2 linked regions of the Pelodiscus sinensis genome follow. The main gene of each other region encodes a partner of the protein of the gene in region 2 in a complex. Links are inferred from orthologs where the notes say so. Each region holds a gene or a part of one and is shown on either strand. Other genes may lie near its edges. The genes, in order: ISCU and NFS1.

What was found.
Region 1: the proteins of NFS1 (region 2) and ISCU are in contact, whole or in part, in a crystal structure (PDB 6W1D), measured with the Homo sapiens proteins. The link is inferred for Pelodiscus sinensis from reciprocal best matches to the Homo sapiens genes NFS1 and ISCU. Residues at the interface, in NP_066923.3 of Homo sapiens: Tyr360, Val361, Glu362, Glu364, Ser365, Leu367, Met368, Ala369, Lys371, Glu399, Asp400, His403, Ser404, His429, Arg432, Leu433, Glu435, Met436, Ser437, Pro438, Leu439, Glu441, Met442, Trp454, Thr455; in NP_998760.1 of Homo sapiens: Tyr35, Val40, His42, Tyr43, Glu44, Val49, Gly50, Ser51, Leu63, Val64, Gly65, Ala66, Pro67, Ala68, Cys69, Gly70, Val72, Lys74, Phe90, Lys91, Thr92, Phe93, Gly94, Cys95, Gly96, Ile99, Lys135.

What each region holds. Positions count from the first base shown.
Region 1 is NC_134725.1:36,562,829-36,578,188, reverse strand, and holds ISCU (iron-sulfur cluster assembly enzyme ISCU), read right to left. Parts: upstream 5,677-15,360; 5' UTR 5,618-5,676; coding exon 5,519-5,617; intron 4,448-5,518; coding exon 4,334-4,447; intron 3,596-4,333; coding exon 3,485-3,595; intron 2,743-3,484; coding exon 2,664-2,742; intron 1,702-2,663; coding exon 1,607-1,701; 3' UTR 1,132-1,606; downstream 1-1,131. Other genes in the region: SART3 (spliceosome associated factor 3, U4/U6 recycling protein), read left to right, coding at 7,928-8,101, 10,446-10,572, 12,320-12,424.
Region 2 is NC_134728.1:32,074,011-32,089,608, reverse strand, and holds the start of NFS1 (cysteine desulfurase), read left to right. Parts: upstream 1-7,786; 5' UTR 7,787-7,833; coding exon 7,834-7,924; intron 7,925-8,793; coding exon 8,794-8,861; intron 8,862-12,955; coding exon 12,956-13,072; intron 13,073-13,750; coding exon 13,751-13,834; intron 13,835-15,460; coding exon 15,461-15,598. Other genes in the region: ROMO1 (reactive oxygen species modulator 1), read right to left, coding at 6,962-7,070, 7,509-7,639.

The sequences.
Region 1 (15,360 bases), on a different chromosome or scaffold from region 2:
ATTTTCAGAATGGAGAGGGGGGTAGCTACAGGTGTTCCCCAAGGGTCAATCCTAGGACCAATCCTATTCAACTTTTTCATAAATGATCTGGACAAAGTGAGGTGGCAAAATTTGCAGACAATACTAAACTGCTCAAGGTAGTTAAGACCAAAGCAGACTGAAGAACTTCCAAAAGTTCAAACTAACTGATTGGGCAACAAAATGACAAATGAAATTGAATGTGGATAAAAGTAAAGTAATGTACATTGGAAAAAATAACCCCAACTATACAAACAATATGATGGGGGTTAATTTAGCTACAACTAATTGGGAAAGAGATCTTGGGAGTCATCGTGGATAGTTCTCTGAAGACATCCATGCAGCATGCAGTGGCAGTTGAAAAAGCAAAACAGAATGTTAGGAATCATTAAAAAAGGGACAGGGAATAAGACAAAATATCTTATTGCCCTTATATAAATCCACAGTACACCCACACCTTGAATACTGAATAGAGGTGTGGTCTCATCTCAAAAAAGATATACTGGCATTAGAAAAAGTTCAGAGGAGGGCAATTAAAATGATTAGGGGTTTCGAATGGGTCCAATATGAGGAGAGATTAAAGAGACTAGGACTTTTCAGGTTGGAAAATAGGAGACTAAGGGGGGGATGTGATAGAGGTATATAAAATCATGAGTGGTATGGAGAGAGTAAATAAGGAAATGTTGTTTACTTGTTCCCATAGTATAAGAACTAGTTTCATTTGGTGGCCTCTAATGGGCAGCAGGTTTAAAACAAATAAAAGGAAGTTCTTCAGACAGCGCACAGTCAACCTGTGGAACTCCTTGCCTGAAGAGGTTGTGAAGGCTAGGACTATAACATGATTTAAAAGAGAACTAGATAACCTCCATGAATTTAAGTCCATTAATGGCTATTAGCCAGGATAGGTAAGGAATGGTGTCCCTAGCTTCTGTTTGCCAGAGGGTGGAAATGGATGGCAGGGGAAATATCGCTTGATCATTACCTGTTCGATTCACTCACTCTGGGGCACCTGGTATTGGCCACTGTCGGCAGACAGGATACCAGGCTGGATGGATCTTTGGTCTGACCCAGTATGGCCATTCTTATGTTCTTAACACAATTATACCCAATAGGAATTGCCATAGATTGTTTAATAAATTATGTACAGCATATGCAATAAAACTGATCTGCAATTTCATGGATAAGACATTCAGACTAAGGCAGAACACTTTCCAATATTACCTTTTACTATACAAAACTGTACAGCTAGTCTATGGATTTCAGACCTTCTAACATTTGAAACACCAGGATTTTCTTTGCTGAAAACTCAACTGTCACTCCAGAACTAACTGCCACCCATATCCGTACACATAATATGAAGTCAGAATAGACCAGTAGTCTGTGCTGAAATAAGCTCAAACATTCCAGTAATTTGAGCACCACATCAGTGGTTTAATACACATGAAACAGTGAAACATTGTGCGTATCTTATGTGCGTATTATACAGCTTTTTTTAGTACTGCACTGGTTCTCATGTCTAACATCTAAAGTAATTGCACTGTAGATTTAAGTGGAATGAGAGCAAGCTCTACAGTCTCAAACATTAGTTTTAAGTATTGGCTGCTTTCTTCTCCAACTCTTTCTTAGGATCTTGTTTCAACTTGTAATCTGCCAGAGCAGCCTTGATTGCATCTTCAGCAAGCACTGAAAAGTAAAAAAAAAAAAAGTGTTTAGAACCCTGTTTGTAAATAGGGAGTAAAAATGATCCACCTTAAACAACAACAGCAAAAACAGGCATTTGTGTTTGTATTGAGTATCTATAGTACTATGCAGCAGAGACACTGATAGAAAAAGAGAAGGCTAGTGTTTTTTGCAGGTTACGACTAATACACACAAGGAGTGTTTCAACAGCAAAGCCTGCCCTGTTCCTTAGTTGAGGGAATGCTCTTAATTTTCTCTCAGGAATTAATTGAAATCTATCTTATTCAACACCCTTAATATATGTTACATTCCTTTTAAGGGAGCCCACAAAGATTTAAAAATGGGGCCTATGTCATTTTTTGGCATTTATTAGTGAGGATTTTTCTTTAAGTGGGGGTTGCTACTTCACCTTACCAGCACCAGGAACTTCAGCTCTCATTGTCATTTATGTCTGAATTCACATTTACATTGAGGGAGAAGGGATACTGAATCTTGACTAATGTTCTGGAGAAAGGTAAACTGGTCAGACAAGACTTTCCTTCTGATTAAATGCTCAGCTTTCCTTTTTTGACTCTTTGATGTCACACCACTAATTCTCGAGTCAGTGGTGACTCTTAGATGAAAGATCTGGCTTCTAACAAAAATATAACAAAGTCTTTCAGGCCTTCATCATATGTTCCAAAATAGCCAAACCCTGTTTGTTTCTTTTGAAGGTCACCTTAAAAGAGATCACTAGGGCTATGCATTTAATTCATGAGAATTTATGGCAGACTCAAAAGGTGGGTAACACTAATGACATCCTGTTGACTGATGTCTTTTGCAAATACCTAGAATCCTCAGTAAGAATTGTAGAGTCAAACTACAGTAAGTTATACTATGTTGTTTCTGGGTTAGGTTAGACAATATAGGTTCTAAAAATTAAGACAGTTCGGTGTTTAAACAAGCTGCATTTAACTCAAACTTACTAGAACAGTGGAGTTTAACTGGAGGAAGACAGAGTTCTCTAGCAATATCAGTATTTCTGATCTTCAAGGCTTCGTCAACCTGAAATTTATAAACCTATTAATACAGGATTATGGCTGCTAGTCATCAATCACCTGAGGTGGTCATCTTGAGCCACAGATTTGTGAAAGACGTGTTTTGAGGACTAACCTTCAGGATGGGGTTGTGAGAGAAACATACAAAGAATTATTTTGGTATGCTTACTGATAGTGCAAAAGCATTTTAAAAGGGTTGTGTATAAACAAATTGCTCTGACCACCCTATCAACATCTTTCCCATTCTCCTTCCATCCCAAGATACCAGACGTAAGCAAAAAATTTTCATATGAACAGCTTCTGACAAACAAAGGCTAGGGACACCCTTCCTACCTATCCTGGCTAATAAATATTGAGGGATATATCCTCCATGAATTTAACTAGTTCTTTTTTGAACCCTGTTAAAGACTTGGTCTTCACAATATCCTCTGTCAGGAAAATATGCATAAATTATTTCTGGCTATGTAGGCCAAAGCCACTTTGAAAATTAAGCTATCAAAGTAAGGTCTGCTTTTCTAGAAATGGAAATTAAGATTAGTAAACTAGATCACATTTCATTGACAGGGATGAAATATTTTTAACCTGCTTCATTGTAGAAAAAATTCACACTAGGTAAAACGGAAACTTCATACTATGCTTCTCATGGTTCCACATATAGCCTCTAATAATGAATGGTGTAGCATTAATAGCGATTTATGCTGCTAGTTTTTGTGTAATATGCTCTTTCACAGATGTGAAGTCAGTTTTACCGTTTTTCCTTTAATCCATTCTGTGGCCAATGAGCTTGAGGCAATTGCTGATCCACAGCCAAATGTTTTGAATCTTGCATCAACAATTTTTCCATTTTTATCTACTTCAACCTGCAAGAATTCCAATGACATTGATTTGGTATATAATATTTGTGTTATATATTTGGTTACATAACATTCTTGTGGTACTATAACTGAAGAGGACTCAGCTTGATAATGATTTGATTTCAACCTATTCACAGAAATCAAGGCAAAGTATCCTTCACATTGGTATCCATGGTAGCAGAATAGGACCTAAGAGTAAGGCAAGGAATACTGTAAAACATTTACATTTTAGTTCTAGAAACGGAAAGTCATTTTACTAGTGGTTTAAGACAGCAGTTACAAGTAGACTTTAATGGACATCATCCACTTAAGGTCTACTTTTGTTTCAAAAGGTGAGTTAAATGTAGTCTTCAGAGCTGACACCTGCCTCTAAATCCTCCTGATATTCTTGTTGATTTTCACCAGAACATTTTAACAGTGGATAACATGACAATGTATGGGAAACAATCAGATATATAAATGAAATAGAGGCTCTTTTATATTTTTTATTTTACCACCTGTAATACCATTAAATCAGAATTATCCACCAGAAGTTTCATGTGAAGGCAGTTCTCATTTAAGACTAATATGTTCATATTCTGTAACTTTTCATTTTGTAAAGTTACTTGCATGTCCTCTCTTTTTTTCTGGCAAACAGCTTATATGATTGTCAACATAACCAGCGTGGTCAGTTCATAATATTCAATATACTAGAGATCTCTCAGTGAACACAGAAATAATCATGTTTGTTATTTGATAACTCACCTGTAATTTCATCACATCTCCACAGGCAGGGGCACCCACTAATCCAGTGCCAACGTTCTTTGCACTCTTATCAAGGGAGCCCACGTTTCTAGGATTTTCGTAGTGATCCACTACCTAAAAGGGAATTTTATTGGCAAGGATTATGGTATCTACAGTCCCTGTCTAGGAAAGCGCTCACAACGTCTGTGCAGTTTAAAACATACTGCAAGAAAGCCCAGTGCATGGCACGGCTGAGAACCTCCCCAACGCTGCCCCAGCTTCAAGGGCATGGGAGTCCATAAGCCCCCTAGTCCCACAATAGCCAGACCTCCTTCTCCTTTCCCAGTCCCAAGTTTCCCACACAACTCCCAGGATCCCATCCTCTTCTTCACCCCTGCCAAGTTCTTTCCTCCCAATCCCTCTCTGCTCTACCTCCCCTCCATGCTGATCTCACAACCAACAACCTCCTGCCCCAATGCTGCCCCCACCCCTCCCCCCTCTCTACTCCCCCCCGCCCCCAATGCTGCCCCCACCCCTCCCCCTCTCTACTCCCCCCCGCCCCCAATGCTGCCCCACCCCTCCCCCCTGTCTACTCCCCCCGCCCCCAATGCTGCCCCCACCCCTCCCCCCTCTCTACTCCCCCCCGCCCCCAATGCTGCCCCCACCCCTCCCCCCTCTCTACTCCCCCCCGCCCCCAATGCTGCCCCCACCCCTCCCCCCTCTCTACTCCCCCCCGCCCCCAATGCTGCCCCCACCCCTCCCCCTCTCTACTCCCCCCCGCCCCCAATGCTGCCCCCACCCCTCCCCCTCTCTACTCCCCCCTGCCCCAATGCTGCCCCCACCCCTCCCCCCCTCTACTCCCCCGCCCCCAATGCTGCCCCCACCCCTCCCCCCTCTACTCCCCCGCCCCCAATGCTGCCCCCACCCCTCCCCCCTCTCTACTCCCCCGCCCCCAATGCTGCCCCCACCCCTCCCCCCTCTCTACTCCCCCGCCCCCAATGCTGCCCCCACCCCTCTCTACTCCCCTCCCCCCTCTCTACTCCCCCCCGCCCCCATCCCTCTCTACTCCCCTCCCCCCTCTCTACTCCCCCCCGCCCCCATCGCTGCTGTCAGCCTCTTGCCCCCTCACGCCCCGCCCCTAAGGACTCACATCTCGCCTACAAGGCCCCCCCCGCCCCCAGTGCTGCTCCCGGCCCCCTCACTGACCTTCTTGTGATACCCCGCGGCGGGGCCTGCCAACCCCCCGGGCCCGGGTCTCAGCAGCGCAGCGGCAGCCCAGCCCCCCGTCAGCCTCAGCGCCGCCATCTTCTCTCGGCAGCGGGCAGCGCGAGATGTCCCGCCCTGTCCCCGCGCACTGTTAGGAGCGCGTCGCGTCACGCCCCCCACGTGACCCGCACGTGTCCTGGCCCCGCCCCCTCGCGAGGGGCAAAGGGCAGTGACTTGCGGGGCTCAAAGAGCAGCAGCTAGAAGGCGCGTGTCCGGCCCCTCCCCCCTGTGGTATCCAACCCGGCCGGTCACGTGTCTGCTGGTGCCGGCGGGGGCCGCGCAGCGCCGCGTGCAGCAGGGCGCGCCCCCAGGACATGTTTACGGCGCTTTGCATCCTTTTGCTCTGCGCTTGGGAAATGGACCCTCCACGCCTGCTCGGCATCGCTGCCCCGGGAGAGCTGCCCAGGCCTGAGCGAGCCAATAGCCGGGTCTGGATGAACCCGAGTATTGCCCGGCAGAAACCAACCCAGGCTTAACCAACAGCTGTTCTGTGCCTGGGCCCGGTGCACATTGTGCACACACCCACTTGCCTAGGGGAGCAACAAGCCATCCAAGCGGGGAAGACCCAGCCCACTGAGATATGTGTTTATGCCTTCCAGGCTTATTGCAATCAGTGGAACTCCTTGCTAGAGCAAATTGTGAAGATCAGGGTTCAAAAAAGGACTCTTGTACATTTCAAAAGCAGAAGTGCCAGGAGTGGGAACTGGTATGCTTCTGTTTCCATCCCACAGTGGAGACATGGTGGTGGGAACCTAATTGGTTCTTCCCAGCACAGGCTCCTGCTCCCTTCCACCTAATAGTTGACTAGTTGCTTAGGCTAGTCACTTACATCTCTAAAGCCAACTGTGTTTTGCACCATGTTCAGAACCATTTACAGGACTCACCTAACAGCTGGCTGACAGATGATCCACTCTCGGGCTGTGTCTAGACTGGCCAGTTTTTCTGGAAAATCAGTTGCTTTTCTGGAAAAACTTGCCTGCTGTCTACACTGGCCGCTTGAATTTCCGCAAAAGCACTGATTTCCTACTGTAAGAAATCAGCGTTTTTTGCGGAAATACTATGCTGCTCCCATTCGGGCAAAAGTCCCTTTTGTGCAAAACTTTTGCACAAAAGGGCCAGTGTAGACAGCTGAGATTTGTTTTGCGCAAAAAAGCCCTGATCGCGAAAATGATGATTGGGGCTTTTTTGCAGAAAAGTGTGTCTAGATTGGCCACGGACGCTTTTCCGCAAAAAGTGCTTTTGCGGAAAAGTGTCCGTGCCAATCTAGACGCTCTGTGCCGAAAATGCTTTTAACGGAAAACTTTTCTGTTAAAAACATTTCCGGAAAATCATGCCAGTCTAGACGTAGCCAGGCAGTTTATCCAAAGCCTGAATTTGTCCTATACAGTGTTGTAGTTTGACAATTAGCTAGTCAGGATTCCAGACCAGAGAGCTAATAATAGTCTTGCTCTGTTGTGATCAGTACTTGGTTTCTCATTTGGCTTCTGAGGGAATGAGTTCTAATGGGGGGGGGGGGGGGGGGAGAGAAGAGGTGCAAGTTTTTTTATTCATATTCCCATTTGCATATTTCCAGACCTTGCTGCCTTAGGATGCTTTACAGTTTTATCAAATATTTAGACAGCATCCTGAACACTGAGGTTGGACAGGTCAGAGGGAGTTTTGCAAATATCTGTTTTAATTTCTTGTGCAAGGTCACCAGAAAGAGGTAAGAGGGATGGAGGGGTGGACTTTGCAAATACATTTCACCATATTTAATTCCCATGCCATATCCCATTCTCTAGTGATGCAGCTACGGGAACTTTATAAAGACGAGAATATTTAATTTCTTATGCACTAGCCCCTGCACCATCCATGATACACGTACATCGTGTACTGAATGTCCAGTTATTACAATGGCTCTCATCCTGCTATGGTTGTGGGAGGATGAGCGGGGACGCAGCAACAAGACCCGAGCCATTTTGCTATGGACAGAGGTGCTCAAAGCCCAAGCAAGCCTTTGAGCCTGCGTACAGAAGAGTTGCCACACACAATATGGCGGCCAAGCCTGGGTCCTTCCCCTACCGACAAGCCCTGGCCAGGGGGACCTCCTTCAGGGCCCCGACATGCCCAGGAGGACCTCAGCAGCCCACGCAGGTGCCTGTAAGAATCCATCACGAGAAGGCCGTGACTCCCTAATCGGAAACAGCCGTTGCTGCAGAGCTGAGTACAGCGAGCTCCACCCGGGCCTTCAATCTTCTTGTCGGGGGTGCGTTCAGCATCTGCGCGGGGACGGGCGAGTCAGGCGCGCCAGCGGCAGCCCCGCGGCTTGGCCGAGGTCGGCAGGCAGTGCGCAGCGCGTAGCTGCACAAGATGGCGGAGGCGGCGGCAGCCGGGCCCGAAGAGACGGCGGCAGTAGCGGCGGCGGCGGAGGAAGAGCGGCGGCCGGAGGAGCAGGGCGGGGACGAGAGCGACTCGGGCTCGTCGGCGGATGGCGAGGACGAGGAGAAGGAGAACGAAGCCGAGATCCAGCGGCTGGAGGAGCAGGTGGGGATCGCGGCCCGGTGCTCGTGGGCACGCGGGGGGAGGGGGCGGGGCGCGAGCCGGGTGCGCCCGCGAAGCCCGTTGCCTCGCGCGTGGAGCCGCCCTCAGCCCTGCCTCGGCCGGCGGGGTCACCCTCGGTTCGGTCCCCGCAGCGCGCGGGGAGGGGGAGGCGGCTCCGCGGCTGCGGCTCGGGGTGTGCAGGAGGGAAGCGCCGCCCTGGGGGCTCTGCGAGTAGCGCCCAGGCCAGAGCATCGGGCCCTCATCCTTGGGGGGTGTGAGCATCCAGACTGGGGGCTAGTCACTGCTCAGCAGGAGCCCCCACGCTTTCTGTAGGGTGCACAGAAGAACAGAATCCTTCTCTGCCCTTGCTTATCGCTGCTTGCCTTCATCTGTTAGGAGCTATAGGCCAGGGATTGTCTGTGTGTGCACAGGAAGCAGAGTTGCATTTTGTGGGGGCTAGGGCCGTACACATCATTAATATTGATAGAGCAAAGGAATCAATAGGTGATGGAGTCTGTATCGTGGCCCCCCCATTAAATGTTGGAGCACAATTAACATGTGAAGAAAGGGAGAGATTTTTGGAACTAGTGGATTAAAGAGAATAAGGAACATGTGATAGTATAGATGGGTGAACTTTTAGGTGTGGGGAATTCACACCCATTCATTCTGTAGTGTTAATCCAGGATTGTATAATTCTGCTGTCTGTTGTAAAATATCAAGAAATCCTTTCTGTTTGTTTATAGTCTCAAATTCTTTGAACACACAGTGGAACAAGGGATGTTAAAAATCGTGTAATAGGGTAACTGTGAAACTGCTAAAAATCTTAGTGGCTACATGTGCTACTGGTTCAGCAGTACTGTAGAGCCTTCAGTGAAGCTGCCTACCTCGCTTGGGAGGAGGAAGAGAGCTGCTTGTCCTCCCTGGGAAGGAAACTTCTCTTCCCTACTGCAGTGAAACCACCTCCCCCTGGAATTGGTTGAGTGTAATCTGTACCATTAACTGATAAGCATCAGCTGATTGGTTAAACAGTTAATCAGTTAAACCCTAATATTGCTAACAAATTCAAAGTTTCATAATCATGTGTAATGTATGTACATTATACTATTCATAAACTATGTGTGGTTTCTGTTCGAGAATTGAAATATGTACCTTTTTTAGCTGTCTTGGTACACAACCCTTTCAGTTGGAGACACTTTCAGAATTTCTACAGAAATGTGCTCTTCGCTTTTAATTTCAGCATGGTAATTATGAAAATGTTATATCTTTATGAAATAGTTCTGTTGTGTAATTCTTTGGTGTTTTAATTGCTATGGCAAACTGGAATAGTGCTAACTTCAGAGGGTTTTCTCTATGCACTGATTACTGAAATAATTGATGGTTGCAACCAGGAATAGAACTTCTTGAGGACTAATATAATTGGAAAGCATGCGTGTCTGTTGTTGAAATGAACTGCAAGGTGGACCATGCAGTAACAAATGTTTTTCTGAGCTTGACGTACATTGAGAATAGGGAGGCAGAACCTTAATTAGAAAAGAACTTCGATCTTTTCACATCTCAGAAACTACTATTTTATCTTGAGAACTGCTTATGTTTGCTATTTCCAGTTATTAGATGGGAAGCTAACATTTTTTGGATATTTATATTAGTTTACTGGAGCAAATTCTCCGTTTTTGTACAGTGTTATTGAAAAGTGGGATCTACTGCAATTTGGATACAAACCATCAGTTTTACCACTAAAATGATGATTAGACAAATGTGCACAACTGCTTAGTGAGATTTAGGCACCTGCTTATTATGCTTATCACCTGAGGATCCACATTATTAAACAGTGGCTTCTAGCTCCAAGGGCTCAGTTCAGTCACCTGCCAAAATAGAATCTTTCATTTTGTACCCTCAGTGGGCTTTGAAAACAATGAAACATTGCACAACCTTTATGCAGACTGGTGAAAGGCGTGTATTATTTTCACTTCACATTGAGCAGTCTGGGGGTAGGTCTACACTAGCACTTTGACTGGTGTATTTTATGTTGCTCGGGGTGTGAACAAACCACTCCCTGAGCAATGTAAATTACGCCAACATAAGAACCATTGTGAACTGCTCTATGTTGTTAAGAGATCTTCTCCAGCTGCCACTTGTTGGGGTGGATTAATTGGAGAGCTCTCTCCAGTCCACTGAGAGCAGCTCCACTAGAGAGCTTACAGTTGCACTGCTGTAAGCTCTATAGTGTAGCCATTACCTGAGACACTGAAGGAATTGATGGCACAGTCCAAAATAGAACTCTGAAGTTCTACCCTAGTAACCAATTGCTGGATATACTCTCTTACATTTCTTCATCTCCTTTTTAAAGCTTTCCATCAATGCATTTGACTATAACTGTCACTTGGACCTAATAAAACTGCTTCGCCAGGAAGGAGAGCTGGTAAAGCTTAGAAGAGCCCGCCAGAAGATGAGTGAACTCTTTCCCCTGACTGAAGGTACAGGATTACTTTAGTTCACACTGGTTATCCTTCTGTAAGCTCCTCCCACTGTTTTTAGCAGCTAAATTGAACATTTTGTAAAATAGTGGTGTTGAATTTTAACATGGAAGTACAAATCAGACATTTTTGGGGATTGTAGTTAGTGGATGCTTCTGATGATGAAGTCCAGTGTTGAGCATACAAATTCCTGCCAAAAGGTTAATATTTCATAATACAGTAAAACTCTGATGGTCCGGCATCTGACGGTCTGGCACTCCTGATGGTCCGGCACCATCAGGAACCCGGAAATGCTCTGGGTAGCCGGACCATTGGAGCTGCTCTGCCCCCAGCTTCCCCAATTCAGCCGCTGCTAAAACTGATCAGCGCTGAATCCGGGAAGCAGGGGGCAGAACAGCTGGAGTGCTGCCGGGTAGGTCCAGTAGCACTGCCCCTCGGGGCTGCGGGACCAACCCAGCGGCTGACTCCAGGAAGCCCGAGACAGAGCTGCTCCGTCCCAGCTTCCTGGAATCAGCCACTGGTCAGTTTCAGCAGCAGCTGACTTGGGTACACCTAGGACAGAGCAGCTGGGGTGCTGCTGGGTTGGTCCCCACAGCGCCGAGGTTTGGCGCTACCAGACCAACCCAGCAGCGCCCCAGCTGCTCTGTCCCAGGCGTCCTGATTCAGCCACTGCTGAAACTGACCAGGGCTGACTCCAGGAAGCCCGGGGCAGAGCAGCTCTGCCTCTGGCTTTCTGGTGTCAGCCGCTGATCAGTTTCTGCAGCGGCTGACTTGGGGACACCTGGGGCAGAGAAGCTGGGGTGCTGCCGGGTTGGTCCAGTAGTGCCGAGGAGCGGCGCTGTGGGACCAACCCGTCAGCACCCCAGCTGCTCTGCCCCAGGCGTCCCCAAGAGCAGTTGGGGTACTGACGGGTTGGTCTCGCGGCGCCAAGGGTCGGCGCTACCGGACCAACCCGGCAGCACTCCAGCTGCTCTGCTGCAGGCGTCCCCGATTCAGCCGCTGCTGAAACTGACCAGCAGCGGCTGAATCAGGGGCTCCTGGGGCAGAGCCGGACTAACAGAAGGGAGGGCTATGAGAGGGTCTGGGGTAGCATCTCCCCACCCCACCCCAGACCCCTCATAGCCCCCCCCTTCTGATAGTCCGGCATATTTGATAATCCGGCACCCCGTGGGTCCTAAAGGTGCCGGATTATCGGAGGTTTACTGTATGTTGTAAAAGGATGCTGTTGAAAGTTACAAATAGCCTATTAGCCTAATTTTTTTTTTATTGACGGGACAGACAGCATCTGGGCAAACTTCCCTGTACAGCCTGGCAGACGTGCCTTGACCTGACATGGAAGGGCCTCTTCCCAGAAAGAGGGTGAGAGAACCGCCTTTGTGGCTGTTCAGTGATTGGCATCTGCTGTGTATCTAGAAGGGTACAAATTGTGCTAGTAATCACTTGTGCTATGGGCCATTGTTCCCTGGGAATTGAACTGACATTTATCATATAAGCATCATGGTAATGCTCTACCTTTACAAATAGATAGATATTTACTTAAATATTTGGTGGTAGGATTGTAAAAACTGGCCAAAGCTTTAGTAAAATTTGTTATAGCTAACTGTAAAAGTTCAAAAAAGTGTTACAAAAAATAACCACATTTTCAAACTATGCTATGTAGTGATGCCAAGTTAAACTAATTTCTTATCTTTTGGATTCTTTTGAATATTCTTGGTAATGTACCTCTGAAGTTCCTGTTCTTTTTCAGAAATTTGGCTAGATTGGTTGAAGGATGAGATAAGGATGGCTTCTGAAAACACTGATCGTGAGAAGGTTTATGAGCTGTTTGAGAGAGCTGTGAAAGACTATATCTGTAAGTTGCAAAGATCCCCTGCAAAATAAACATTTGTAGTTTTGCATTCTTCTTCACTGCTTTCTTATGGTTAATACTGTGAAAAATACTCCCCCAAATTTGTTTTGGATCTGTGCGGTAAAGAATAGCTGTTTTAAAAGTAATAACTCACAATCTGTTGATGATACTTAGATGGAGATTTGAAATTTATGCAAATTGGAGAGAAGTTGTTGAAGGATTCAGCTCTATTGTATCATTTCATTGATTTCAGTGGAGAGCAGCTGATTAACACTACATTTCCTGGCTTTGTATCTTGCTGTTACCTGATGAGGAGTCTGTCCTTACAGATATTGAATCCTGTATCCTATAATTAATTCTTCTGTTCTTGTTTTTAGAAAGTGTTTTTAAAAGGCTTATTTTCAGTACCTTGCATTTTTCTGTAGACCTTATTTTTTAGTTCCTGCTCTCTTTCATGTGTTTCTATTATGTCCACAGTCTGTAAAAGCTTTTTAAGAGTGAGTTGCTATTAATTACAAAAAAGACATAATCCTTTATTAACCTACCTACTTAAATACTCAAGCTAACCCACATTTCACAGCACTGGGCCGCTGGGACTTTCATTAAAAGAGAGACAAATATCTGGTACTTGTTCACACCTATTCATCAAGCAATGGCTGCTGCTAAGTACCTAATTATTAGGCTGAACAGTCAGGTTTGCTTCATGTATTATAGTGGTGGAGCTAGCTGTGAAATGAATTGGCAGATATTATTGATGTGTCAGTAGTAGGGATGTTAAATTTGTATGCAATCAGGTAATCAGTTAGTCAATGGAATTTCCATCAACTACTCAGGCAGTCAATAAGGGGGTAAACTGCAGAGCTACAATGGGGTTAGTTCCCGGCCCCAGGAGCTAACCCTGCTGTGGCTCTACCTTTTAAACATATTAAGAGCTTAGCAGCTCTTAATACATTTTGAAAAGCAGAGGTGCAGTGTCTGGGACCGGGTGTGAGCTGGGACAGCTGATTCCTGGCTCATACCTGGTCCACCGCTACACCTCTGCCTCTCTGTCCTTTTTGTCCCTGATGGTTCCAGGGAACCGGCTTTAAAGCTAGCTTCCCGCAGCACTGACCCCCCCCCCCCCCCACTCCTTGTTCCTCTGGTAGAGGAAGCAAGGTGGTTGGGAGGAAAGCGACTGGTAGAGTCACTACTCAGATACTTGATAAGCGCATGCTTATGGCATAGTTGACTGGTCGCTTACATCCCTAGTCAGTAGTAGCTATTTGTTAATTCTTCAAAGCCACTCTTGAACTTCTAAAAATCATGTACAAAAGGAATTATTCTCTGACCACCCAGGGAATTGATATAGAATAAAAGTGATGGAACTGCTCACTCAGCTTTTCTTATCCCCATTGCCAACAGACCATTATTTTTAGTTTTCCCTGAATTTTTGCAATAGTTTGATTTAGAGCAATTAAAAAAAATGCAAAACTTCAGGAAAGGATAGCATGCAGGTTTTGTAATTTGGAATGACAAGTGGGGGCATGGGACATGGAATTTAGGAGATGAAAGGCTAATTGGGTTTTGTTGTGGTCTGTGGTGTAACATTGGAGGTCTGGTGCTCAGCCCTGCTCTCTAGCTCTACCTTGCAGTTTTACTGCCATTTTTTTGTCCTTTCTTGCTTATTTGTGCTGTTCCTGCAGGACACAGACAGGTATTAATAGTCTGGAGCTTTTATAAACATTACAGACTAGAGCAGGTTGGAAAATGGATTTTCAATCCCATGAAAAAATTGTGCATCCACCCTTTTCAGTCTAATAACATACCTCACTTACACACATCAGTGAAACTATAATGTGGAACTCCATGCACAGAAATGTAAAAAATCCATGCCCACCCACTATTTGTTGAAAGATGTGAATGTAATAGTTAATATGGCTGGCATTTAAAGATGTCCGTTGATAAGTCAGGTCGAAGATTGTTAATCATGGGAAGCCGGAGGTAGTTGAGATTGCAGGGTAACTGGAGAGTGGATTACAATTTGGATTTTGAGTGAGTGCTTTTTTAAGGTATATGATGAACTAGTATCCTTCATTCTCTGTACCTGGGAACCTTGCGGCCAGCCCTGTGACCTGGCTCTTACTACATTTAAACTGCAGAGCTGCAGTGGGGGATAGCTCCTGGATCTGGCGTGATCCAGGACTGAGCACCTTTCCTTATTGGCTTATCATGTACTTGATACAAATTCTATCGATTATACGATTAGCAAATTACGCACCTCTTCATCCTAACTTTTGACCGGTTATGTTCCTGCCCTATAGTAATTTAATCTAGATCAGTGTTTCTCAAACTTTTTAAATAAAGTACCCTTAAAAAAAAAAAGTACCCCCAGTACCTACAGTTTTCAGCGACACAATTTTTTTTCTACCATTGCAACACATTTGCTTAAACAACATAATCATAGCTGGCGATGAAATTTTTGGATGTAAAAAGTACAAAAATAATAAAATGCTGTAAAACTGAAAACAAAAATTCAATGTTCTCCAAATTTCAGTTGTGTTGACATATCCCGCAGTCTTCTCTCAAGTACCCCAACGGTACTCGTACCACTGGTTGAGAAACACTGATTTAGATCACATCCCAAATTTGTTTGAGGCCGACGTGACACTGTATCAAAAGTCTTACAAAAATTAGGTATATTAATGTGTTCAATTAAGTAACTGTGTAGTTGCTGATACAGAGGCAGTAGCAGTGCAGGGGCAGGAGGGAGAGAGCCGGTGGCTCCCCAGGAGCTGGAGCACGAATATCTGGAGCCTGTGTGTAACTGAACATTAATCAATGAGCTCACACTTTCACATCCCTGCTGTTCCTATTGTTGCTCCCCATCTACCAGGATAATAACCTTATCAAATTGTACAGGGTCCAGAGTTCAGCATGAAAAAATGTTATTTTCTGTGGAA
Region 2 (15,598 bases):
TGAAGTAATTAAGGAATTCATCTGCCAACACCTGGAAGATAAGCTGACGAGTAACAGCCAGCATGGATCTGTAAAGAACAAATCACGTCAAACCAATCTGATTGATAGCTTTCTTTAATAGGATAACAGGCCTTGTGGATGTGGTATACCTAGACTTTAGTAAGGCATTTGATAGTCTCACATGGTATTCTCAATAAACCAGGCAAATACAACCTACATGGGGCTACTATAAGGTGGATACATAACTGACTGGATAACAGATCTCAGAGGACTTATGCCCTTCCAGCAGGATTGTGAACCATTAATAAGTGGGATTCCGCAGGGATCTGTTTTGGGACTGGTTCTGTTCACTATCTTATTCAACAATTTAGATACTGGCATAGAGAGGACAGTTACTAAGTTTGCAGATGATACCAAACTGGGAGGGGCTGCAAGTGCTTTGGAGGATGGGTCGTAATTCAAAAAGATCTGGAGAAATGGTCTGAGGTAAATAGGATCAAGTTTAATAAGGACAGATGCAAAGTGCTCCACTTAGGAAGGAACAATCAGTCTCTCACATACAGAATGGGAAATGACTGTCTAGGAAGGAGTACTGCAGAAAAGGATCTAGGGGTCATAGTGGACCACAAGCTAAATATGAGTCGTCAGCATGATAGTATTGCAAAAAAAAGCAAACATGATTCTGGGATGCATTAACGAACATTGTGAGCAAGACACAAGAAGTCATTCTTCGGTTCTATTCTGTGCTGATCAGGTTTCAGTTCGAGTATTGTGTCCAGTTCTGGGCACCACATTTCAACAAAGATGTGGAGAAAATGGAGAGGGACCAGAGATGAGCATCAAGAATGATAAAAGATCTATAAGACGTGACCTATGAAGGAAGACTGAAATAATTTGGTTTAGTGTGGCAAGAAGACGACCACGGGGGGACATGATAGCGGTCTTCAGGTATCTAAAAGGGTGTCACAAGGAGGGAGAAAAATTGTTCTTCTTGGCCTCTGATAGGACAAGAAGAAATGGGCTTAAATTGTAGCAAGGGAGGTTTAGGTTGGACATTAGGAAAAACTTCCTAACGCTCAGGCTGTGTCTACACTGGGCCACTTATTCCGGAAAATCAGCCGCTTTTCCGGAAACGCTACGCTGCTCCCGCTCGGGCAAAAGTCCTTTTTCCGGAAAAGCTTTTCCAGAAAAGGGCCAGTGTAGACAGCTTTTCCGGAAAAGCAGAAGAAACAGAAAAAAGCGGTTTGGACGGCAGGAGACCCCGTAGAAGCCGCGGACTTCCGCGTAACCCGAGGGCTTAAAGAGCCCGCACGCTGGCAGGAGCCCCCCGGAGACCACCCTTCCCAGCTCTGCCACGTGGCAACTGTGCTGCCCAGCCACTTCAGTGCAGGCATGGCAGCTCCAGGTGGTCGTCAGCCACCGTCACCCGGGGCAGGGGAGGAAGCCCCCAGGGGCCGGAAACGCAGGGCCCCATCCTGGACCCCCAGGGAGCTGGAGACCCTCCTGGACTTGTGGGAGGAGGAGGAGGGTCTCCATGACCTGCAGTCCCACCGCCGGAACGCCGACTTGTACACCCGGCTGGCACGAAACCTGGCCCAGCAAGGCCACCCCAGCCGCAACTGCGAGCAGGTGCGCTCCAAGGTGAAGGAGCTGTGGCTGGGGTACGTGCGGGCCATGGAGGGGAGCGGAGCAGGACCCGATGCCTGCCCCTATTTTGAGAGGCTGCACTCTTTTCTGGGTGAGCCAGCCCCGCAAGCCCCAGCTGTCCCTGTAGACACCTGCCAGCACCCCCCCCATCAACCGTCCCACCGAGCTGGAGGAGGGAGACAACAGTGGCGGCGCTTTGGGAGAGGAGGCCAGCGTTGCCACCCAGCAGGCCTCCTCCAGCAGCTCCTCTGTGGCCGGGGAGGAACCCACTGGTGAGTCTTTGAAGGTTACACTCCCAAAGGGCGGAGGGCGGGGGGGAGGGAGAGCCAGGTCCCCGGAGGGGGGAGAAGGGGAGCATGTCACTCAGGCCACGTGAGCTGCACGCTGCGTAGCATGAGGCAGCAGCACGTGCAACCATGTGCAGCCTGGTGACCGAGCGGCAGGTGGCCGTGGCAGGCAGCTGCAGGGCACGCCTGGGACCGTGCTCCTCGCACACATTCGGCGGGACCAGGGGGAAGGGTGGATGCCGGCTGGAACCGGCCAGGGCCCCAGGGACTCAGCCCAGAGCCCGCAGCTCCACCAAGGGGTGCAGCACAGGGAATGGCACACTGTCCCATGCCTGGCTGTGAGGCACAGCCAGCTGCTCCTGGGATAAGCGCAGTGTCACAGTCCTGTGACCGTGGACCCCCACCGAGCCCCTCACCTGCTCCCAGTGCTTTGACAGGTTCCCCGAGGGAAGTCCCCACTGTGGCCACACCTGTCCCTGGGCTACCAGGCTTGCGGGAGGGATAGTGGGAGGGAGAAGGGCCCCTGAGTTTTGCTGCAAGGATGGGACATCCCCCCACCCAGTCACCCTTCTGGTTCTGTCCAGGAGATATCCCACGCGAGGGGATCTGAGAGCCCAGACCGCCACTGACAGGTGTGCTCCCAGGCACTGCCGTGGGGATGCATCTCGCTCCCTGTCAAACACCACTCATTAGCCCTAAGCTTTTCACAGTGTCCACCGGCAGGGAGTTCCACAGGTGAACACAGCACAAGCACCCTCCCGCCCTGCACAGGGCCAGGATACAGACTGGTGCTTACAATACTGGAGGGAGGACCCTACTCCAGGGGCGGTCCTCCTTGACAACATACAACACGGGAGCGGGAGGGGAACCGAGTGGGCCCAAGCCACAACTGTGCAGTCACCTGGGCTCCGGGGTGGAGGGCATGGAGGTGTGGGGACAGTGGACAGCCTGCCTGACTGACCCGTCCTTTCTTCTCTTCCCTGCAGCGGGACCCAGCACCAGACCCACGACTCCAGCAGCAGCGGCACCCCCAGCTGCCCAAGCCCGGAAGCCCAGGCTCTGACACCGGGACCAGCTGCTTCGGCGTCACGTCACCACGGTGGAGGGGATCCAGACCTCCATTGCGGAGCGTGTGCAGGGGAACCAGGAGTGGCGGCAGGAGGGATGGGCTGCGTTCCTGGAAGAATGCCGCGAGATGCGCGCCACAATGGGCACCCTGACAAAGTCGTCTACAAAGTCCAGATGGGCCGGTCTATGGTAGGGTGCTGATGCCACGCGGTTGCCAGGACCTCCCTGGTGAGGGAGTCCAAGGTGATCTCTGCCTCCTGGTATATGAACGCCAGGGCATATGTACAGGTCCAACAGGGGTCTGAGCAGGTACATGGCCACCCATGGCTCCATGGCAGATAGAGCAGGGCAGAAAAAAGAAGACGCTGGGAAAAGCAGTTGGGGGCCCAAGGGTGGTGTCCCCAAAACTCACAGGGCAACCACCGACCCTGTGAAGGGTGCCAGTCCCTGGCAGAGGTCCCAAGGCACGGGAGCACGAGACCAACAGCTACCTGGCGAGACCCCTTTAACCACGCATCTGGACGGAGCTCCAGCCCCGCCCCCGTAAAGGTCTGGTGGCCTTTGCCCTTTTCAAAATGGTTCCGGGCTTTTGCTTTTCCGGAAAAGCGCGCCGCCAATGTAGACGCGCTTTTCTGGAAAAGCGCATCGTTATCACGGAAACTCCGCGGCCAATGTAGACGCTCCGTTTCTGGAGAAGCTGAAAACGGAATAGTATTCCGTTTTAAGCATTTCTGGAAATTCATGCCAGTGTAGCCGTAGCTTAAGGGTGGTTAAACCCTGGAATAAATTGCCTAGGGAGGTTGTGGAATCCCCATCTCTGGAGATATTTAAAAGTAGGTTAGATAAATGTCTATCAGGGATGGTCTAGATCAGTGGTCTCCAACCATTTTACACCCAAGATCACTTTTTAAGTCTCAGAACAGGCAAAGATCTACTGCCCTGCCCCTTCTTTGAAGCCCCGCCTACATTACATGAGGAAATCTAATGTAAATGTACTGCGCAGGTGCGCAGTTCACAGAGGGCTCAAGAGCTACTCTTAGAGCCCCTGAGATCTACCGGTAGATCGTGATCTACTGGTTGGTGAGCACGGGTCCAGATGGTACTGGGTCCTGCCCTAAGGGCAGGGGACTGGACTGGACTGGACCTCTTGAGGTCTCTTCCAATTCTAGTGTTCTATGAAACAGTTCAAGTATGTCAATTAGTCACTGTCAAAAGTCAGGAAGATTTTGATACCATGTTCTCAGGGATCCTGGGGAGAACCTGTCACAAACCATCAGCTGGAGACAACTCTAGGACTGGTTGGAGAAAGATCTCAGCCTGTGCCCCAAAGGACCTGAGACATGGGAGGTAATACTGAGAATGGAGGGGGCAAAGGAATTACAGCAGTGGTCTCCAACCTTTTTACACCCAAGATCACTTTTTAAGTCTCAGAACAGGCGAAGATCTACTGCCCTGCCCCTTCCTTGAAGCCCCGCCTACATTACATGAGGAAATCTAATGTAAATGTACTGCGCAGGTGCGCAGTTCACAGAGGGCTCAAGAGCTACTCTTAGAGCCCCTGAGATCTATTGGTTGGTGACCACGGAATTACAGAATGAAGGAGCCAGACTACAGTCCTGGTCCCCGAAGCCAATGCCACAGTTCAATTCCATATCAACTTAAGGTCAGTTTGAACACAAAGGTTGGCACTTCAGTAATGCCCGTAGCAGGTGTGACATAGTGGGGGTACCTGGCTGGTTTCTATGCTGCTGGCTCTGGGATAACCCCCACTGGCTGCCGTGGGTACCACGACCCAGCAAAACAGGATGAGTCACTATGCAAACCAGTATGGCCAGACACCCCCCATGGAGAGGAACAAAGGAAGGTGGAATGCTGCCCTGGCTGGGGGCAGGGCTGGAAGAGTGTGGGTTAGTTGCTGTCTGAGAGCATGGAGGAGACAGCCTATGGAAAGGGGCTGGAGTTTAAGGGCCCAGTCTCCCCCATCTCAAGGGGGCCTGAGGCATCCTAGCCCAGCTCTGTGACCAGATTACATCTGTGCTGTGCTGTATCCCTGGAGAGGTAATAAACTTCCTCTATTCCACCGGCTGGTGCAGTCTGTTTGTGCCATTTCTGGGTGCAGGAGACAGGGGACCCCAACGTGCCGTCACAGCAGGTTTCAAACAAAAGGAGGTATCTCTTCACACAGCACAGTCAACTTGTAGACCTCCTTGCTGGAGGATGTTGTGAAGACCAGGACTTGTAACAGGGTTCAGCAGCGTATTGAGAAATGTATGGAGGTCAGGTCCATCAATACATAAGAGTCAGGCAGGGTAAGAATCGTGTCCCTGCCCCCTCAGAAATTGGGCATGGGTGACAGAGAACCATCACATGATCCCTTCTCCTGTTCTGTTTACTCACTCTGGGACATTTGGCTTTAGCCACTGCCAGAAGTCAGTATCCTGAGCTAGATGGAGCTTTGGGCTGACCAAATAGGGCTGTTCTTATGCTACAAGTGGATGAGTGATAGGGTGGCAGTCTTAATAAAGATTAGTGGCAGATCCAGTCTTTGTCCTCAATCTCCTTGGGCCATTTCCACTTTAAAGTGGAGCCTGCCAAGTTAGTCACCTAATAGTGTTCACTTTCGTGCCAGAGGTTAGCTCACTTTGCCAAACCTAACTAGGCCATGCTAGAAGTGATTTATGTAAGAGATCAAAGGTGAGCTGTGCTATTGCAATGAAGCTTTAATGTTGTCAGTACAGCTGAGCTGAATGTCTGTCCTTGCCGACTAGATGTCTCCAGTCCTTTCTCTACACAGCTGCAGATACAGGCAAGGGGGGGGGGGACTGTCCCGCAACTTTGCAGGCACAGTGTTCCCCATCCTATATTTGAGCCTAAAGCTGTTTGCCAGGGAGAAGGTGGCTCACACATCAAAGTGGCTCATGGAAATGCCAGGTAAACTGCTGGGCAGCCCTGTTTCCTAGTCACAGCCCATGTACCTACTTTGCTGTGGCTGTTCTCTCCAACGGTCTCTCACCTCTTGGTGCAAGGCTGGTAGCTGGCACGCTTGTCCCAGAGCTAGGTGCAGCATGGTGCTGGGAAGTAGCATGCAAACATGCTTTTCCCCAAGAGACTGGCAGCTGCTTGAACAAGAAAGCTTTCTGGGCTTGTGAGGCCAGGGATAGGACAGCCCCCAACTGTGCCATGAGCATACCTGCACAGAGCATGCTTTGTCTGAAGAAGGGAAGCTTACAAAGGTGAAAATGGCCATGGAGCAGGGGAAAACTTGACCATGAAGAAGGGACGCTAGAGACTGGTAGGGAGCCAGCTGGGGAAACCCAGTCCCAGACAGTGACTGGCTTTCACTTTCCCATCCCCTTGTTTAAGGAAGATACCCTGCAGCTCTGAGAGAGGCTTTGGCCACCCGCTGTCAGGGCTGAGTCCTTGGCACTGCTCCTCAAGATCATGCAAATAAGTCCTATCTCCAGCAGGGAATAGTGGACATTTCCAGGAGTGGGGATTCCAGCAGAGACCCAGAGGCAAGAGACGGAAGGAACTGAGGGCTGGTCAAGCCCAGGCTGAAAGCCGACACCTATGAGATCACTTGGAACAGACAGCATTATTTAACTGGGGAGCTAATCTGTTCCTGTAGCTATGGGAAGAGTGGAAGGTGTAGGAGGGTGGCTCTTTAATCAGTTTTGCTTTCTACCTTTAAAATGTCAGATTTCAGGTTCTCCTCACCACCTAGGGAAGGACAGTAAGTTCGGTCACTACTAGGCCTGCTGCTTCGTACCAGAGGCTGTGTGGTGTGCAGTAGAAAACCCTGTAGTTAGAATCTGAGAGCACGATTGAAGCCTTATACCAATCTCACTGAGACGGAGAATTTAACTTTCTAGATACCCAAAGGTTTTATTATATTACAGAGGTGGAATGACTGAATTGGGGCATTTGTCTTCGGGTTAAAAACAATCCCATGCTCCAGATTAGCAGCGGATTCCCATGCCAATGGCCATGAATGTCCCAAACGTGCCACCACTTTGCATCATGGTTTTGCCAACTCCGCCCATCAGTTCTCGTCCTCTCATGCCAACCCTGAAAAAGAGGAAACGGTGCAAGGTTCTGCTACTGCAGCAACAATCTATGACAGATGAGACTGGATTTGGCTTCATTCACTTCTAGACTGTATACACCAGCACGTGGGTTGCACGAGCCGCCCTCCAGCCCAGTGGGCCACGACTGTAGCCAAGCCGGTCTCCCAGGATCCGGCAGCGCTGCACACTGAGCTCGTACCGGAGTTTGCGGGAGGTGCGGGCAGGGCCAGGGCAGCAGGCTGGGCGCAGAGGGAGCCGGGCTCTGGGCTCGGCGCGCCCCTCCCCCCGCAGGCAGGAGGCGGCAGTTCGCAGCCCGCCGCTACTCTGGCGAATGGAATGTTTTGTGGCGCCGCGCGGCCCCCGCGCTCCTGGGGCTGTGGAGCGGGGGGGTCCAGCTTGTCCGCCGCCCCCCCGCGCGTGCCCGGGCCCCGCCCCCTACCTGAGGCAGGAGAAGGCGCCGAAGAGCGCGCCCGCCGCCACGCCCACGGCGAAGCCCATCGCGAAGCCCATCTTGACCCGCTCGAAGCAGCTGGGCTGCGCCTGCCCGTAGGGCCCCACGCTCACCGGCATCTGCAAGAGAAGGCGCTGAGGCCCCGCCCACAGCCGGGGGGGGGGCCCCTGGGAACCCGCCGACCCCCCCGGCCCGCGGCCTCACCTCGCTCGCGCCTCCGGCCGCCGCGCCAGCCCCGCCGCCACTTCCGGCGCGCCGCGATGACGCGCGGGGGTGAAAGGTCAGGGGAAGCTTCCGGCCTGGCCGCGCGGAGATGTCGCTGTCGCTGCTGCTGCGGGGGGCGGGGGCGCGCGCGCTCGGCGGCCCGGGGGCCCGGCGGGTGTCGAGGGCGGCGCCGCGCCGGGGTGAGCGCGCCGGGCCGGGCTGGGCGGGGCCCTGGGGCCGATGGGAGCCCCCCCGCCCCTCCGCGAACCCCCCGCCCCAAACTCGGCTCCCCCCTCAGCCCGCCCCCCAAACTCTGCCCCCCAGCTCGCCCCCCTGCCCCCAATCTCTGCCCTCCTCTCAGCCCGACCCCCGCCCCAAACTCTGCCCCCCCAGCCCCCCCCCATGCCTCCCGTGCCCAAACCCTGATCCCTGCACCCCAAGCTCTGCCTCCTGCCCATGCCTCAGCCTCTGCCCCTTCTCAGGCTTCCAGCCTAGAGCCCCCCCCACACTAAGCCCCTGCCCAGCCCAGTGAGGGTGGGTGAGCGAGCCACCAAGTGAAGGGGGCTGCAGGGCGTGGGGCAGGGCCAGGGGAACGTTGGCACCCTGGCCTGTGGGCAGATTTCTCTGGGCCTCGCTTGCCTCCTGTAAAATGGGTCATGCCTCACCTGAGTGTAGTGAATGTCCTGAAGATTGTTGGTGATGGTGGCCATAGAAATACCTCCGGCTGATGAGTGTGGTGAAGCTTCAGGACTCCTGATGTTTCCTTTCATGTACACTGTTGACCTGGGCTGGCTGTGGCCACTTGCCAGAGAACACGGGTGTCTTCCTCCGCTTTCCTAGCAACACAGGCAGTGGTTAGTTCTCCTTCAGCGTGCCAAGTGCGCTGTGTGTTCTCAGTGGACACGTACTCTGCTGACTGTGGTTTCTCCGATGTTCTTTTCCTGAAGCCACTTTCAGCTTCTGTTGTTGCAGTGTTTTGCTTTTTTCCTCTCTCTCCCATTGTGTCCTTCTTTGTACTTTGTGCTTGCTGTGCAGCTATCACTGTCCTGTGTTTTTTTTCCCTTTGTAGAAAAGGGTCTTAGTGAAGAATCCACGCTCCGGCCATTGTATATGGATGTCCAGGCAACTACTTCTCTGGTTAGTAAAATGAAGTGATGCGAACATATGCTGGTGCCCTAGAATGAACCCTGTGGTTGTAACCTGATAGGCTACTTGCCTAATGGGCAAGGTGTGTCCTGGAAATCACAGATTCTGTGATTTCTAGAACTCTCTGTGACGTTGGTTTGTATCAGTCTTGGACTAAAGCTTTTGGTCGCAGCCCCGGGGAGTGGGTGCGCTCTCCTCCTGCAGCTCTCCAGCAGTGCTGGAAGAGGTTCCCTCCCCTGCTGCTCTCAGTGCAGATCTCTCCTGCCCCCACAGCACTTAAGCTCTCATCCCCCACCACTCAAGCTTCAGTCATCTCCTCACCGCCATTATTTTTAGTATTTTATTTACAGCCTTCTGTGAATGTTGTTACTTTTACTACAAGTAACCATGACACAATCTTAACAATGAGAAATGCAGACTTCAATAAGTGAGTCCAAATGCTCATGAGTATAAGAACATAAGAACGGCCGTAGTGGGTCAGACCAAAGGTCCTTCTAGCCCAGTATCCTGTCTGCCGACAGTGGCCAGCACCAAGTGCCCCAGAGAGGGTGGACCGAAGACAATGATCAAGCGATTTGTCTCTTGCCATCTCTCTCCAGCCTCTGACAAACAGAGGCCAAGGACACCATTTTATCCCTTGGCTAATAGCCTTTTATGGACCTAACCTCCATGAAATTATCTAGCTTCTCTTTAAACTCTATTATAGTCCTAGCCTTCACAGCCTCCTCTGGCAAGGAGTTCCACAGGTTGACTACGCGCTGTGTGAAGAAGAACTTCCTTTTATTAGTTTTAAACCTGCTACCCATTAATTTCATTTGGTGTCCTATAGTTCTTCTATTTAGGGAACTAATCAATAACTTTTCTTTATCGGCCCTCTCCACACCACTCATGATTTTATAGACCTCTATCATATTCCCCCCTCAGTCTCCTCTTTTCTAAACTGAAAAGTCCCAGTCGCTTTAACCTCTCCTCATATGGGACCCGTTCCAAACCCCTAATCATTTTAGTTGCCCTTTTCTGAACCCTTTCCAAGGCCAAAATATCTTTTTTGAGGTGAGGAGACCACATTTGTACACAGTATTCAAGATGTGGGCGTACCATAGTTGTATACAGGGGCAGTAAGATATTCTGTGTCTTATTTTCTGTCCCTTTCCTAATAATTCCTAGCATCCTATTTGCCTTTTTTACCGCCGCTGCACAGTGCGTGGAAGTTTTCAGAGAACTGTCCGCGATAACTCCAAGATCTCTTTCCTGATTTGTCGTAGCCAAATTAGCCCCCATCATACTGTACGTATAGTTGGGGTAATTTTCCCGATGTGCATTACTTTACACTTATCCACATTAAATTTAATTTGCCATTTTGTTGCCCAATCACTCAGTTTGGTGAGATCTTTTTGGAGTCCCTCACAGTCTGCTTCTGTCTTGACTATCCTAAACAGTTTTGTATCATCTGCAAACTTTACTACCTCACGGCTTACCCCTTTCTCCAGATCATTTATGAATAAGTTGAAAAGGATTGGTCCCAGGACTGGCCCTAAGGGGACACCACTAGTTACCCCTCTCCATTCTGAAAATTTACCATTTCTTCCTAACCTTTGTTTCCTGTCTTTTAACCAGTTCTCAATCCAAGAAAGGACCTTCCCTCTTATCCCATGGCCATGCAATTTACACAAGAGCCTTTGGTGAGGGACCTTGTCAAAGGCTTTCTGAAAATCCAAGTATACTATATCTACTGGATCCCCCTTATCTGCATGTTTGTTAACCCCTTCAGAGAACTCTAACAGATTAGTAAAACAGGATTTCCCTTTACAGAAACCATGTTGACTTTTGTCCAACAAATTATGTTCTTCTACATGCTTCACAATTTTATTCTTTAGTATTGTTTCGACTAATTTGCCCGGTACTGAAGTTAGACTTACCGGTCTGTAATTGCCAGGATCGCCTCTAGAACCCTTTTTAAATATTGGTGTCACGTTGGCTACCTTCCAGTCATTAGGTATGGAAGCCGATTTAAAGGATAGGTTACAAACCACAGATAATAGCTCAGCAATTTCCCATTTGAGTTCTTTTAGAACCCTTTGATGAATGCCATCTGGTCCCGGAGTTTGTTAACGTTAAGTTTTTCTATTTGTTCCAAAACCTCCTCTAATGACACTTCAATCCGGGACAGTTCCTCAGGTTCATCACCCACAAAGGACGGTGCAGTTTCGGGAATCTCCCCAACGTCCTCAGCCGTGAAGACTGAAGCAAAGAAATCATTTAGTTTCTCCGCAATGGCTTTATCGTCCTTGATTGCTCCTTTTATAGTTCGAACATCTAGGGGACCCACAGGTTTTTTAGCAGGCTTCCTGCTTCTAATGTACTTAAAAAACATTTTGTTATTTCTTTTTGAGTTTTTGGCTAGCTGTTCCTCAAAATCTTTTTTTGCTTTTCTTATTACATTTTTACACTTGATTTCCCAGTATCTGTGGGGGAAAAGCTGTTTTTTCAGTACTCTCTGAGGGAGAATGAACCCTTTGTAACAAAGTCCAATATCTAGTCTTCCTCATTCATTCTTGATGTGTCATTCCTTCCCACAATCACTCCATCTGTTAGTTTTCTTCTCTTCCCGCATCAGACTCAAGCTTCTTGTTCTCATAATGAACATAATCTCACCCCCAACTACATCTTGGCTTTCCCCATCATTCGCTCTTTCTCACTACACATGAAAGCTACGTCTACATTGTACTGTCTTGTGCAAGAACATATACAAATGAGCCGCCGTTTTTGCGCAAAAACCATTCTGCCTGAAAATAAGTGGCAGAAAGGCTCTTGCGCGAGAGAGGGTTTTTGCGCAACAAGGAGTATAGATTGCTCCTTCTTGTGCAAAACCCCGTGTGCAAAATGGCAGCTCATTAACTATGCAAGAGGCGCGGCGATATCGCCACACCTCATTTGCGTATGTTCTTGCACAAGAGAGCGCAATGTAAACGTAGCTGGAGGGACTGAGAAGAGACGGTCTTATTTGTGCTTAAAAAAGAGTCCAGTAGTTTACCCAGTTTAAGGCACTCACCATCTTTTTTGTGGTCACTGTGATAAGCATTACTATTCAGTGCTGCATCAAACCAGCTTTAGGGTAGTATGCAACTAAAATTCTATCGTTGTACCTCAGTAACAGTTGAGAAGTGGGTCTTTGTCTGAAAGTCCAGTCTTCTTCCTTCAGCATAAATGTATTATGGCCAGAATGTCTTTCATCAACATTTAGATATTGTGAGGGTTAATAATTAGAAACCTCTTAATATTCCTGGGGAAAAGGTAAAATAAATGCACCTTATGGTGGTGGCTATCATCAAGTACTGTCTAATCATGTCATTTGAATTAAATAAATCTGCAGCGATGAAGAGCCATCTTAGATAAAACATAAAATGTTTCAGAATTGTTTGCTGCTCACTGGATAGGTTAATACAGAGCATATGCAAAATGTTTGTGCATTCACAGTAGTTTGGAATACGCTGGCAGCTGGCCTGGGATAAAGTGACACATATGTCAAGGGCAGGGAACCTTTTTTTGGTTGAGAGCCACTGATCCAAAGAAAAATCATTCAGGGGTCATAGACGAGTAAGAAGAATCAATAACAAAGAAAACAAACCCCTCAGGGGCCTGGCCCTGGAGAAACAACGAACAAACAAAACCAAACCCCTCACTGACCTCAGGGTGGAAAGACTCCTAGACACACTCAGGATGTCAGGACTCCCTTACGCGCCATCTCTGTGGGCCCAGATCTGGCCCCTGGCTTCCCTTGATCCTGCCCTAGGCAAGGCTTTGGGCTTCCCTTCCCACTGCCGTGGGCGAGCCAGTGCTAGTGCTCTAGTCCCAAAGGTGGTGCTGAGGCAGGGAGACTTGCAGCAGGGCTGGAGTGCTATCACTGGCTTGCCCTGCTGGTAGGGGTGTGGGCCCTGAGTCAGCTTCACTGCGGGCCAGACCAAGTAAAGCCAGGGACCAGATCTGGCCTGCAGGCTGTAGGTTCCCCTCCTCTGGCTTATCTATTGCAGGGGAAAGGAGGAGGAACAACAAACTGCTTTTAACAATTGCTTCTTGTCTTCTAGGACCCCAGAGTTCTGGACAGCATGCTCCCTTATCTAATGCACTACTATGGCAACCCCCATTCCAGGACTCATGCCTATGGCTGGGAGAGTGAGTCTGCTATGGAACGAGCCAGGCAGGTGAGGCTTCTCAGAGCCTGTCTAAGTTTACGTGCGCCAATCCCCATCTTTCTGGTGTAGCTCCTAGTAGGTGAGACTTGGTAACTTGATCTCTAGCAGCATAAGTGTTTCCCATGTGAGGTCTAGTTTGGCAAACTCAAAATGAAACATGTTTTATACTAAAGCAATTTAAGTGGTAGAATTAAATGACTTGGGGGTGAAGTGAGGCTTTCCAAAGCTGCTCGGGGGTTTGAAAGCAAATGGCACTTGTCATAAATCCCTATGGCGCCTTTGAAAACCTCCCTCTCAGGCATGTATCTGCCATTTCAGTAACTACTGTTTTCACATTCTAGGTCAATGGATTTTTGCCTTGCTGTGAAAGTTTAGGGCTGTATTTTGGTTGCCTCTGGGACATACTGAATATTGAATACACTGAATGTTTCTTGCATTTTCCCCTTCTTTTCAGGAGGATTTATGTTCACAAGTAATAGTCTTGAATGCAGATAGCCTATGCAAACCCCCCGCCACACTAGACGAGGAAGTATACAAGTGCAATGTCATTTCTTAAGATAGAATCTATCTACCCTGTCCAGGCTGGGCTAGTATTGGAGTGGTGGAGATGCTGTGCGTATTCTGTTTGTGATGAACCCCTTCTCATTCTTAAAGTAGGATATCATATTTTTCTTTCTCTTTAAACAGCAAGTTGCGTCGTTGATAGGAGCAGATCCTAGAGAGATTATTTTTACCAGTGGAGCTACAGAATCAAATAATTTAGCAATTAAGGTAAATAATTGCTGGTTTATAAAACAAATGATATATACGAAATTACTTTGAATCTATAATGATTTGGTGTTAAAGACCTGTTGTTAACCTGCCAGTGATCCATTTGTGGTTCTGAACTGTTAATAAATTGACAGTGATTTTAGTCAAGATCGTTGTTTGTTGACCAGCTTGTGAAATGAAGGCATGGACTGCTGTGCCCCAGCATTACTGCAGGGAGTGGTGAGCAGGAATGGGCTGGTCATGACCCATGCTTTGGCAGAGGAGCCATACTTAGCCTGTTCTGTAAAATGAAGAAATCTTTGAACTGTAGTGAAATCCCCACAGTTAACCTTGATGTCCCAGAAATTCCTTTGGGCCTGAAATTGTCCATCCTCGTTTTAGAGCACAGGGGAGTCGCCCCTCCACCCCCTTCAACCTTAACTGTTTTTGATATGCATGTGGGGATTAAAACTCCTTTTGTCCCAGATGTGCCAGATGAAGTTTTATGTTCCATATAACTCAAATCTTGGTCATAAAGAGTGGCAGAAATCTTGATTATCAAGCTTTTCCCAAAGTGTTCGATCCTTTAAAGCATAGGTGAATATTTTCCTTACTAATATTTAGAATATTTTTTATTCTACAGTATCTCACTCCAAAGAAGCAGAAAATTATAAATCCTTTCATAATAAATATTCCAGAATTCAAAGCTATATATTTAGGTAGCAATTGTAAATAACTAAATGGTCTAGTTTAGTGCAAATAACATTGGTAGATTATAATTGAGTAAATGATTAGAAAGAGTGGTGATGTGTGTTGCCTCTAAGCCAGGGCTACTCAACTTTGGAACCCCGGCGGGCTACAATGAACTCACAGCACATGCCAAGGGCCACAACTTAAGTGTGGTTGCATATACATGCAAATATCTATGCAAATAGCTGCATTCACACTGATGGGCATGTATACAAAGATTAAGCCTTAAGCCACGGTGCCAGACTCAAACATGGCCCGTGTGAGCCAGTCCACTTGTGTCTTTCAGTGCTCACCCCACCTGGGAAATGCGTCACCGTTGTGGAGCGTGTTCCCAGTGGAGGCCATGTTCAAGGGTTCCCACCCACAGGCCGCATGTTGAGCCCTGCATAAACACAAATCTCACTGTAGGCTGCAAACAAATAGGCCACATGAGGCGCACGGGCCCAGTTTTGAGTAGCCCTGCTCTAAGCTGAGGGGCAGGGCAGATTCACAGATGATTAATCTGCCCTACCCGGTCAGAAGCTCAAGGCTCTGTGCATGGAGCTGACTGACTGGACAGGGCCGACGAATCACCTGTGAAGCTGTGCGGCCGTGCAGCTTAGAGGGAGCACTGGTGGGGATTGTCTTAAGAGGGCTGGAATGTGGGGTTATTGCCTCCCTGCTTCTTCAGGTTGAATGTTTCTTTGCACAGAATCACCCCGTGAGTAAGGCTCACAAGAATGTTGTGGCTGATTCTCTTCATGAGAGAGTCTCCCATTAGCCATTTCAGACCGTGTCATGCCAAGAGATGCCGAGGGAAACTTTTTTGCTTGGTGTCAGGTGCCTTTGAATATATGTAAATGACTCCTGTTAAGCAATTTTATGGCAGTTTTATTTTTCATTTAATGTGAATGCCAGGGTGTTGCAAGATTCTATAAATCCAGAAAGAAGCATATTATTACAACTCAGACAGAACACAAGTGTGTGCTGGACTCTTGCCGTTATTTAGAGGCTGAAGGCTTTCGTATCACATACTTGCCTGTTAAAAGAAATGGG